Linked DNA regions of Macaca fascicularis. The protein of the gene in region 3 purifies or fractionates together with the protein of the main gene of each other region. This does not show direct contact. Links are inferred from orthologs where the notes say so. Each region holds a gene or a part of one and is shown on either strand. Other genes may lie near its edges.

Region 1 (3,651 bases), about 110 Mb from region 3:
TCATCTCTGGGTGGGCTCAAACAGACCCAGCTCTCTCAAGGAGCTCACTTGGTCTTAAAGCAGCTCCTGCCTCAGGGTCATTTCCAGCTTAAGGAAGGTCCATCCATCCTCAACTGTGACTCTAGGATGACACAATGGTGAATGTCAGCTGTATTCCACCATGACTGTCCCTCTAGTCAGGAGGAGTTCTAACAATCCCCATCCACAGGCTGAGCGTAGTGGTCTGCACTCAGAAGGCCCTGAGCCACTGCCCCAAGGTCAGACCCCAGAAGGATCCTGTACTTAGTTCCATCGAGCTAAGATAGGAGAATTTAGAAGGGCTATTCCAGTGCATGAAAGGACTGCCCAGCACGGCAAACAGGTCAAATGTATCCAGAAAGCATTTGACAAAAGGAATCAAAATGTCTTAAAATCATGCTTACCCTTTGACCCAATTATTCTCCTTCTAGGAATCTATCCTAAAGAAATAATCTAAAATGCAGATAAAAATTTGTATCTAAAGGGATATTTAGTGCAGCATTATAAATAGTGAAAATATGGAAACCCAAATGCCCAACATTCAAGGAGTGAAAGGTCAATCAAGTTTTGACATAGTATATAACAGTATTTTAAATCCACTAAAAAAATTGTGTTTATGAAGTATTTGTAATGACACTGGAAAATACACTATGGTTTTAAAATAGCAAGGTCTACATTATAAGAATGATTCCAATTATACCACTGCCCCCCAAAAGTAACTCTGAAGATTATGAGTAATGTTTTCCTGTTGTTCATACTTTTGTTTTGTATTTTGTTTTTGTATTTCCCAAGTTTTCTTTTTACACATGAACATGTATTTCCATAAGTTTAAAAAGTTATTTTAGGCCAGGCGCAGTGGCTCACGCCTGTAATCCCAACACTTTGGGAGGCCAAGGTAGGTGTATCACCTGAGGCGAGGAGTTCGAAACCAGCCTAGCCAACATGGTGAAACCCTGTCTCTACTAAAAATACAAAAAATTAGGCAGGCATGGTGGCGGGCGCCTGTAATACCAGCTACTCGGGAGGCTGAGGCAAAAGAATCACTTGGGGCCGGGCGCGGTGGCTCAAGCCTGTAATCCCAGCACTTTGGGAGGCCGAGACGGGTGGATCACAAGGTCAGGAGATCGAGACCATCCTGGCTAACACAGTGAAACCCCGTCACTACTAAAAAATACAAAAAACTAGCCGGGCGAGCTGGCGGGCGCCTGTGGTCCCAGCTACTCGGGAGGCTGAGGCAGGAGAATGGCGTGAACCCGGGAGGCGGAGCTTGCAGTGAGCTGAGATCAGGCCACTGCACTCCAGCCTGGGCGACAGAGCGAGACTCCGTCTCAAAAAAAAAAAAAAAAAAAAAAAAAAGAATCACTTGGACTTGGGAGGCAGAGGTTGCAGTGAGCCGAGATCGTGCCATTGCACTCCAGCCTGGGTAACAAGAGAGAAACTTCATCTCAAAAAATAAAATAATAAAATAAAATTTTAAAGAGCTAAAAAGTCAAAAACAGCTCCAGTCTGTCTGTCAGTTTCTGAAGGGAGTTGCTTTGCAGCCTCAGCACAAAACTGAGCTTCCTGACACCAGGCTCTTACCACATACTCATCCTCATAGCCTTCGTCATCGGTCTCCCCAGTGGTGGGATCACAGTCCTTGACAGTGAACTTCATCATGCAGCTGAATGTGCAGGCCACTGTGGGGAAGAGAGACTGGGTAGTTAGGAAGTCCCCAGACTGCAGGGGACGGGCTCCTCCTGCAGGGAACAAGCAGGCAGGGGTCACAGCCTGCTTTCTAGGCCCCTGCTATGTTATTAGTAGCAGCAACAAGCCATACAATCCTACAAAGCTGGACAGAGGGCGCCACCTTGTAGGACAGGAAAGTCAAGTCATGAGTTCTAGTGAGATCCTGTCTCTTTAAAAAAATTTTTTAAAGAAGAGCATTTGGGACTCAGCTATTCTTCTTGGGACTGAAATCAAGGAGCTGAAGCTCTAATAAAAGGCAAACAACTAGTGCCCAGTCGCCCACCTCCTGATCCCATGAGCTCCCATAAGGATAGGGTGGTATCTGGAGAGGGTCTCACCAGCTGTGGGGTCTTCTTTGGGCAGTGCCACCAGTGTGTAGCAGGTCCCAGGCTGGTTGTAGGGCAGGCTCCGGGCAGGCACATAACAGAGCACCTCATAGGCCTCAGTGGGCTCCATCTGCACTGTGACATTCTCCAAGGTCTGGTCATTGAGTGTGTTTGTGCAGTCAAACTGAACAGGGAAGAGAGGGGAGCTTAAACATTGCTCTAGGTCTGAGCCATGCTGCAGAGGAAGAGCCAGGAGGTCCCACCTCTTTCCTGTTGACCAAGGTGATTCCCATCCCAGTCCCCCTGCCCCAGGCTCCCTGTCTCCATGCTGATAATCAGGAGCCATGGAGGCCCTGGGTCAACAGATATGTGAGACAGGCATGTTGGGGACAGATTCTGTCATCAAGTTGGGCTCCCAACCAACACAGTGTGGGGACCCATGTCCCTACAGGACCTGCCAGACCTGGGACAACTCCCTGGGCGCATGCCCCAGCAGGGCCTCAGCCCACCTTGCTCACCTGAAAAACCATGTGGTTGGTGAAGGTGTGTTTGGTGCAGCGGATGACATACTCCGTCTCTGACTCAGTGAGGGCCACGGGCTCAGGCGAGGACTTGAAGAGGGGCCCAAGTCCCCGGAACTCTGGCACCGCCGCCAACTGCTCTGAAATCCACAGGCCACATTCACTCAGCTTCTAAATCCCCAGACCAACTTGTGATGGTTTCTAATAAATTCCCATGACCATTCGCAAGGTGTTCCACCTACCTTAGATGGATAAATATGTTTACCCACCTGGCTACTCATTATTTCCTGAATATATCCATGCATTTTCTCATCTCCCTGACTTTGCTCATGTGATACAACCCCCAACAAATACTCTCCCCATCTCTGTACCATGAAAGACCTCAGAAGCAAAACACTGATATGAGACCACAAAATCCTAGACCTAATTGGAGATTCCCCCGGTTTTAGAAGCTTAGCAAGGATTTCCACCCCCTAGCTCAGCAAGGATTCTTAAAAGAAGGTGACAATTAGGAAAATAAGATCAATTAGGAAAATAAGATCGATACTACTATAGCTACAAAATCAGACAAAGTAACAAACTGGTCCTATATATTTGTCAGTTAAGACAAATGGCCAATAAAGAGATGTTTCGGAATGAGAGCGTTGCAGAAAACCCAACTTAGAATGGTCTGTGTCTGGTTAAGACCTATGCCTACACCCTATGGCCAGGTTCAAGCACTGGATTTAAGCACAGGCCCATGGGACCCCACCCTGGCTGGTCCTGGCATTCCTTGCAGACTAAAGGGAATAACCCAAGTGAATGAGGCATCTGGTAGATGTGTGCACATGGTGTCCACCTATAATGGCTACAGCTACCACTCTTGCACCTATTCTATGGCAGGATTCCTCGCACTATGACCATGGATCACCTGTATCAGAATTACTAGGGGTTGGCGGTAGAGCTTGCTAAAAACTCAGATTCCATCCCAAATCTACTACATCAGAATCTCTGGTTTCAGGATCAAGGAATTTGCATTTATAATATGTTTCCTCAGATTATTCCAATATATACTGATA
Region 2 (3,751 bases), on a different chromosome or scaffold from region 3:
GACCAGCCTGGCAAACATGGTGAAACCGTCTCTACTGAAAATACAAAAATTAGCTGGGCATGGTGGCACGTGCCTGTAATTCCAGCTACGCGGGAGGCTGAAGCACGAGAATTGCTTGATTCTGGGAGACGGAGGTTGCAGTGAGCCAAGATAGTACCACTGCACTCCAGCCTGAGTAACACAGCCAGACTCTATCTCAAAAAAAAAAAAAGAATATTTGTTAACTGCCTGGTACAGAAAATATTTAAAACTACTCAGATTTTAAGCTTTTTACCTATATTTGACCAACTGACATAAGGAATTATCTGTCTCTTTTTTTTTTTTTTTTTTGAGACTGAGTCTGGCTCTGTGGCCCAGGCTGGAGTGCAGTGGCCGGATCTCAGCTCACTGCAAGCTCCGCCTCCCGGGTTTACGCCATTCTCCTGCCTCAGCTTCCGGAGTAGCTGGGACCACAGGCGCCCGCCACCTCGCCCGGCTAGTTTTTTGTATTTTTTAGTAGAGACGGGGTTTCACCGTGTTAGCCAGGATGGTCGGAATTATCTGTCTTTAACATGCTGAAAGAGAGGAATTAAAAACTGTTATTCTTTTATCTGACGAGGATCTGAATATGTATGCATAGGAGATCTAAAGGAAAATAAAAGACAAGCTTCTTTGGAAAGAGGCCTGGAGTTCGAGCCAATTAACGAAGGAGGCTGGGAGTTAAATTCCTACATTAACTACCTACCTACCTACCTACACACACACACACATACACACACACACACCCCTCCAAATCGCAAAATAGGGCACTTTTGAGAGAAATTATCTGGTTCAGTTCTAAATAAGGGGTAACAGGTATTTTATTTGTTAGAACAAGCATAAAGCATCATATGGACAAGAGGGCTAATACACTCCTTGTAGCGACCACAATTCTCATGTAACCAGAAAGGGAGAAATTAGCATCCTAGATCATACAATGAGAATCCCTGGCCAGGCGCGGTGGCTCACGCCTGTAATCCCAGCACTTTGGGAGGCCGAGACGGGCGGATCACGGGGTCAAGAGATCGAGACCATCCTGGCTAACACGGTGAAACCCCATCTCTACTAAAAAAAAATACAAAAAACTAGCCGGGCGAGGTGGTGGGAGCCTGTAGTCCCAGCTACTCGGGAGGCTGAGGCAGGAGAATGGCGTAAACCCGGGAGGCGGAGCTTGCAGTGAGCTGAGATCCGGCCACTGCGCTCCAGCCTGGGCGACAGAGCGAGACTCCGTCTCAAAAAAAAAAAAAAAGAAAAATACAAAAAATTAGCCAGGCATGGTGGCAGGCGCCTGTAGTCCCAGCTACTCGGGAAGCTGAGGCAGGAGAATGGCGTGAACCAGGGAGGCGGCGATTGCAATGAGCCGAGATCGCGCCACTGCACTCCAGGCTAGGCGACAGAGCGAGGCTCCGTCTCATAAATAAATAAATAAATAAAATAAAATAATTCCTGGCCAGGCGCGATGGCTCACGCCTGTAATCCCAGCACTTTGGAAGGCCGAGGCCGGCGGATCACTTGAGGTCAGGAGTTCGAAACCAGCCTGGCCAACATGGTAAAACCACGTCTCTACTAAAAATACAAAAAAAAATTAGCCGGGCATGGTGGCACGCGCCTATAGTCCCAACTATTCAAGAGACTGAGGCAGGAGAATAGCTCGAACCCGGGAGGCGGAGATTGCAGTGAGCCAAGATCGTGCCACGTGTGCACTCCAGCGTAGGCGACAGAGCAAGGCTCGGTCTCAAAAAAAAAAAAAAAAAGAATTCCTAAGGTCCAATGGGTAGAGAAAAGGAGAACAGAATAAGGAGTCTGGAAAAAATATTCCACAATCCATGCTAACTTTATCAGGTATCCCAGAACTTTGATGAAACACTGATTCTTTATCATGATAAACCTATTTAATAGGGATTAATAGGAAACCCAAGAGAAAACAGTTTCCTGAAAGAATGTGGCAGGGAATCAGCAATGGAGAGTCAAACTTGGGAAACCACCAGGAGGAGCCTGTAACGACAAAACATCTGTATTCTTTTCTCATAATATGGGGCTAGTTTGGTGGTTTTGGTAAATTAAAATCAGGATATCATCCACAATGCTAAAAATAAGGGGAAACCTGAAGAGTCCTAATCCAGTACGCTTACAGGTCTGTGTATCCTAAGGAGTCCATGTGCTACCTTTAACTTTCCATCGACTCTATGCCCTCTCCCCGGCAGGGCTTCCTACTCTAAACCAAGGCTTTAGCTCCTACACTAGGCCACACACTTATTCCAAGGGTCGGCAGAACCGTCAGTCCCCAAGAATTACCCGGAACTCTCCTTCCCCGTCTCCCACTCGGGCTGCACCCTGACTCCCGGCCCCTGTGGACAGCACAGCATCTCTGCTGCCCCTCCAGCTCCTACCAAAATCAGCGCTTCCATCTTGCCCCGCAGCTGGTGCCGACGTGGAGCCGCAAAAGTAACGCCACCGCTGATTGGCCATACGTCCCCATTAGGCCCTGCCTAGGATAAGGATCATTGGGTAAGACTTGCTCTGTTGACCAATTATTGTACTAACTTGCTTACCGGAAGCAGAGTATCCAACCAGAAGGCACAGGTGTTTGATTGTCAGTTTGAATACTCAATAAAACGCCAAAACCTCACGACTTATTAGGGCGGGAGGGTCGGTGGGGCGGGGTTGTTTCCATGGGGAACGGAGGAAGCGATTGTTAATTTTCAATTGGTAGGGCCAGGGACACGTGATATTGTCGGCCTGATTTAGCGATTTTAAACCGCACTCTCTTTAGGGGGCGCTGTGTCTCCTTAGCCTTTAACGCTGACGCTTCCTAACAGGGATCCTCCCCTAATAATCCCTATTTTCAGCGCCCCCTAGGTCCATGATCTCTGTGGCTAGCCCTTCCCTCAGGCTCGCTCGGGTCACTTTAGCATCCTCACAGAAAGTCTGCACAACCATAGAGTAGAGCCAAGAAAGGCCCAACATGTTAACTACATAAACCAAGACTGCCAGAAGATGATAGTCGCAGTAACAATCTCCCTAAGGTGGAGTTCCAGGCTTTGCTGGGCCTGAGGAACATGAGAAGTCAGAGTTTGTAAAAGCTAACTTTGGCTCAATCGTCTTTGGAGATGGAGTTGGGGGGACAAACGGGGAAAGGGATTAGAATAAGGGAGGGTTATAGGGAGTAAGGTCTGGGGTTTTCCAATAGAAACAAGCCGTTGTGGCTGGGCGCGGTGGCTCAAGCCTGTAATCTCAGCACTTTGGGAGGCCGAGGTGAGCAAATCATCGGAGGTCGGGAGTTCGAGACCAACCTGACCAACATGGAGAAACCCCGTATCTACTAAAAAAAAAAAAATACAAAATTAGCCGGGCGTGGTAGAGCATGCCTATAATCCCAGCTACTCGGGAGGCTGAGCCAGGAAACTCTCTTGAACCCAGGAGGCCGAGGTTGCGGTGAGCCAAGATCACGTCATTGCACTCCAGCCTGGGCAACAAGAGCAAAACTCCATCTCAAAAAAAAAAAAAAAAAAAAGAAAGAAAAAGAAAAGGAAAGAAACGAGCCGTTGCAAAATGAGAAAAGAGAAGTTTACTGAATGCAACGATTTCACAATAGGGAATGGTTTTGATGAAGCTTGGCTTTCCCCTATCTCTTGGTTTCCTGATCCCTGACTCCTCTTAGGGCAGGGATACCTATTGCCTTAATTATCCCTCAGGGATTTTTTTCCCTCATCTCTGAAAATTATGTCCTTAG
Region 3 (3,651 bases):
GTGCTTAGACTTGAAACTGTGTTAAAAGCTTAGCAAAGTTGTAACTGAATTGTTTTGTAGCCCTATTCATGCACTGTATTTAGTTAAGATCTCAAACATATTTTATTTGGCTTAGCAATTTAATTTTTTTAATGTTTCTTTTTAGCCTTTGCGACTTGATATCAAAAGAAAGCTAACTGCTAGATCTGATCGAGTTAAGAGTGTGGATTTGCATCCTACAGAGCCATGGATGTTGGCAAGTCTTTACAATGGCAGTGTATGTGTTTGGAATCATGAAACACAGGTAGGAATTTTTCAGGACTTTATTAGAAATAAAATACTATGTTAGACTGTGTTTATAATGAAAGAGAAGAAATACTGTAACAGAATCCAGAAGCTATATGTAAACCGCTTTCTCAAGTTGGTACGAAGTATTTTAAATATGAAGGAACTAACATTTATGAGGGGATAGTTTGTAGGAGAAACTGTCCTGGGTATGTTATATATAATATTTAAATATGACAACTCTGACTTAGGTAGTATTAGCTCATTTTTGAAATTGAGAAAACTGATGGTATTATAGGATCACTCGCTAAAGTATTTAATTGTTAATTTTCCATTCAGTGAATATTCTATCTTAAGAATGATATTTTTAAATTTATTTTTCTCCCAAATGCCCAATGTAATGATATGCAGATAAATCTTTCACTCAGCTATATAGATTATATCAGGGAAATATTTATAGTCAGCTTTTGGTTATACATGCATCTTACAGATTCTCTGCCTAAATGCTTGACTCCTCTTTCACCTGAGTAAATAACATATCCTTCAAATTAGTTTATCTCATATTTTCTAGTCTTCCTAGACTGTATTTAAGAGTACAAAGCTTATAGTTAGCACTATGCCATACAGTTGTGTCTACTTATATAGTAATTATCCTTAATGTCCAAAGTTAAGTTCTTGAAATCCAGGTGAGATTCACATTTGAGGAATTTAAAATGGCAGAATAGGATCAAGGAACCAAAGCCAGAAGTAAACCTAAAAACAACTTTACACTTTTATACTCACTGTAATGAAACAGAAATGACTGTACACTAAACTTTTACCCTGTATTAGTCTGTTCTCACACTGCTGTAAAGAACTACCTGAGACTGGGTAATTTATGAAGGAAAGAGGCTTAATTGACTCACAGTTCCACAGGCTTAACAGGAAGCATGACTGGGAGGCCTCAGGAAACTTAAAATCTTGGCAGCAGGTGAAGGGGAAGCAAGCACCTTCTTCACATGATGGCAGGAGAGAGAGAGCGAAGTGGGAAGTGCCACACACTTTTAAACCATCAGATCTCATGAGAAGTCACTATCACGAGAACATCAAGGGGGAAATCCATCCCCACCTTCAATCACCTCCAATCCACCCCCATAATCCAATCACCTCCCACCAGGGCCTTCCTCCAATTCAACATGAGATTTGGGTGGGGATACAAATCCAAACCATACCATAGTCCATCAGTGACATTTTATGCAAATTAACATTTTGTTTTCTGCTGTATCTCAGTGCCTGTAACATTACCTGGCACATAGTAAGTGCTCAATAATTATTTGTTCAATAAATTAATAATATGCATTTCACTTATCACTAGTTCAGTATTTCTGTTCTCTACAACTTCAGATCTTTATCTTGTGAATTCTTTTTGCTTTGATGCAAATAACTGCTTTTTTTTTCCTTTTTGTTTAGTTCTTGAGATGTTTAAAGTATTTCTGATTTTATGTTTAACAGATATGTTGGTGTCCTCTCTCTCTGATTATTCCTAGGGATTCCCTCTTATCAACTACATTTACCTATCTCTCAGCTCTGTCACTTGATCATCTTATATTCTAAAGCCCAGGCGTACTTTTCTTATCTTTCTCTAGGCTTTATTGTAATATATCTTTGCTTTATCTGCATTTCCGCTTTGCCTCCTTTTTTTCTTCTGTACCTTTTTCTGCCCTATGACAGGACCATCTGCTTCCCCTTTCATAATTCATCTCATTGGTAATTTCGTGCTTAATTTCCTTCTTTCCTCCAAGAATGGAGGTTCTATGAGGACAAGGATTACCCTCATCTTATTTCCCACTGTTGGTCCAGTGCATGAGGCACTACCTGATACACTGTCAGGCTCCTAGTAGATAGTAAGTCTTTGTTGAATGATTGATCTGTCTTTGGTTCTCCCTGTTTTTTCCCTGTGTTTATATCACCAACAGTATTTACCACTCCTGTGTTGAGAGCAAATTCTTGAGAGAGCCAAAAAGGTTTTTGGAAGTAAAAAGGGTTTTAAATGCACTTGAATTTCAAATAAGGAGATACTATATATTCTTTGAGGTGGTACATGCAGTGGTTTAAAAAACATAGTATTTTAGGATTTGAAGCCAACTTGCTGATTAAATTATATAGGTTAGCCTTTTAACTATGCTGACCCTCTTTATTTATCTAAAGTAAAGATGATATTATTGCCTTCCCTATGTCACAGGATTGTCAAAAAGATAAAATTAGATAAAATTGTATATGAAACCTAAGTACCATATAAGTATTAGTCATTAGTTATACTTTCCTAATCTACATTGAACATTTGTATGTATCGCATGTGTAGCTTTTCTTACTCTTCATTTGCATCAGTCATAGCCCCTAACATGGCGCTGAGCCTTGGCTATTTGCTCTGCAGCTGCTTTATTTTTACTGCTTAGATCCCTGAGTTTGTTGGCTCCTCATGAGCTTTTGTGGATTTTTCTGCTGCATTACAGATTGCATGTTCTGTCTACTCTCAGTGTCTGTATTTTAGTCAGCTGGTAGTGATTCTGCAGGTTGGAGTTGAAGTGCCTACTCATTCAGCCTTTGTCTAAAGAATCTTTGAACTCTGGCTTGAAAAATCAGAGTGGGACAGTTCTTATGAACCGGTCCCTATTACTTTTTTAGTGCACATGGTTAATCAAGCAGTAAGATTATATTGGTTTCTTAGTTATTTCTTTTTTGCTCTCTGATACAAAAAAGGATTGGAAAATGATAGTTTGGCTTTCAGACTTTTAAGAACAGGCATCAAAGAAGGAGAACATAGAGGTATACCATTATCTCTGCTTTTTCTAGGAGGGTCTTCTAGTTTTCTACCTTTATCCTGTGTGTATAATTCCATTCTGAGTAGCTCAGAGGAAAATACAGGTCACTGTGTTTTCATTTAAAAAAAAAAATAAATAATAACATTTGTATGGAATCATATTGCTAAAGCATGCAAAAGAATTGTACCTTATTCATGAGTCACTTTTATGGGTTTCAATTTCAAAAAAACTGACTAGGTGTGGTGGCTCACGCCTGTAACCCCAGCACTTGGGAGGCTGAGACAGGTGGATCACTTGAGGCCAGGAGGTCGAAACCACCCTGGCCAACATGGTGAAACCCTGTCTGTACGAAAAATACAAAAATTTGCTTGGCATGGTGGCGCATACCTGTAATCCCAGCTACTTGGGTAACTGAAGCATAAGAATCACTTGAACCTGGGAGGCGATGGTTGCAGTGAGCCAAGATTGTGCCACTGTATTGCACTTCAGCCTGGGTGACAGAGTGAGACTGTCTCAAAAAAAAAGAAAAAAAGAAAAACTAAGAGCTAATTCATTCAACAAATACTTATTACACACTAATTTAGTG

The links.
Region 1: the proteins of COPB2 (region 3) and COPG1 purify together in Homo sapiens (co-immunoprecipitation; 8 studies listed by BioGRID and IntAct, counting the BioPlex papers as one, with this or other methods). This does not show direct contact. The link is inferred for Macaca fascicularis from reciprocal best matches to the Homo sapiens genes COPB2 and COPG1.
Region 2: the proteins of COPB2 (region 3) and COPZ1 fractionate together in Homo sapiens (co-fractionation; 6 studies listed by BioGRID and IntAct, with this or other methods). This does not show direct contact. The link is inferred for Macaca fascicularis from reciprocal best matches to the Homo sapiens genes COPB2 and COPZ1.

The regions. Positions count from the first base shown.
Region 1 is NC_088376.1:154,151,386-154,155,036, forward strand, and holds part of COPG1 (coatomer subunit gamma-1), read right to left. Parts: intron 2,734-3,651; coding exon 2,591-2,733; intron 2,257-2,590; coding exon 2,085-2,256; intron 1,698-2,084; coding exon 1,600-1,697; intron 1-1,599. UniProt on the Homo sapiens protein: The coatomer is a cytosolic protein complex that binds to dilysine motifs and reversibly associates with Golgi non-clathrin-coated vesicles, which further mediate biosynthetic protein transport from the ER, via the Golgi up to the trans Golgi network.
Region 2 is NC_088385.1:61,173,289-61,177,039, reverse strand, and holds the start of COPZ1 (coatomer subunit zeta-1), read right to left. Parts: upstream 2,506-3,751; 5' UTR 2,488-2,505; coding exon 2,314-2,487; intron 1-2,313. UniProt on the Homo sapiens protein: The coatomer is a cytosolic protein complex that binds to dilysine motifs and reversibly associates with Golgi non-clathrin-coated vesicles, which further mediate biosynthetic protein transport from the ER, via the Golgi up to the trans Golgi network.
Region 3 is NC_088376.1:42,216,625-42,220,275, reverse strand, and holds part of COPB2 (coatomer subunit beta'), read left to right. Parts: intron 1-145; coding exon 146-283; intron 284-3,651. UniProt on the Homo sapiens protein: The coatomer is a cytosolic protein complex that binds to dilysine motifs and reversibly associates with Golgi non-clathrin-coated vesicles, which further mediate biosynthetic protein transport from the ER, via the Golgi up to the trans Golgi network.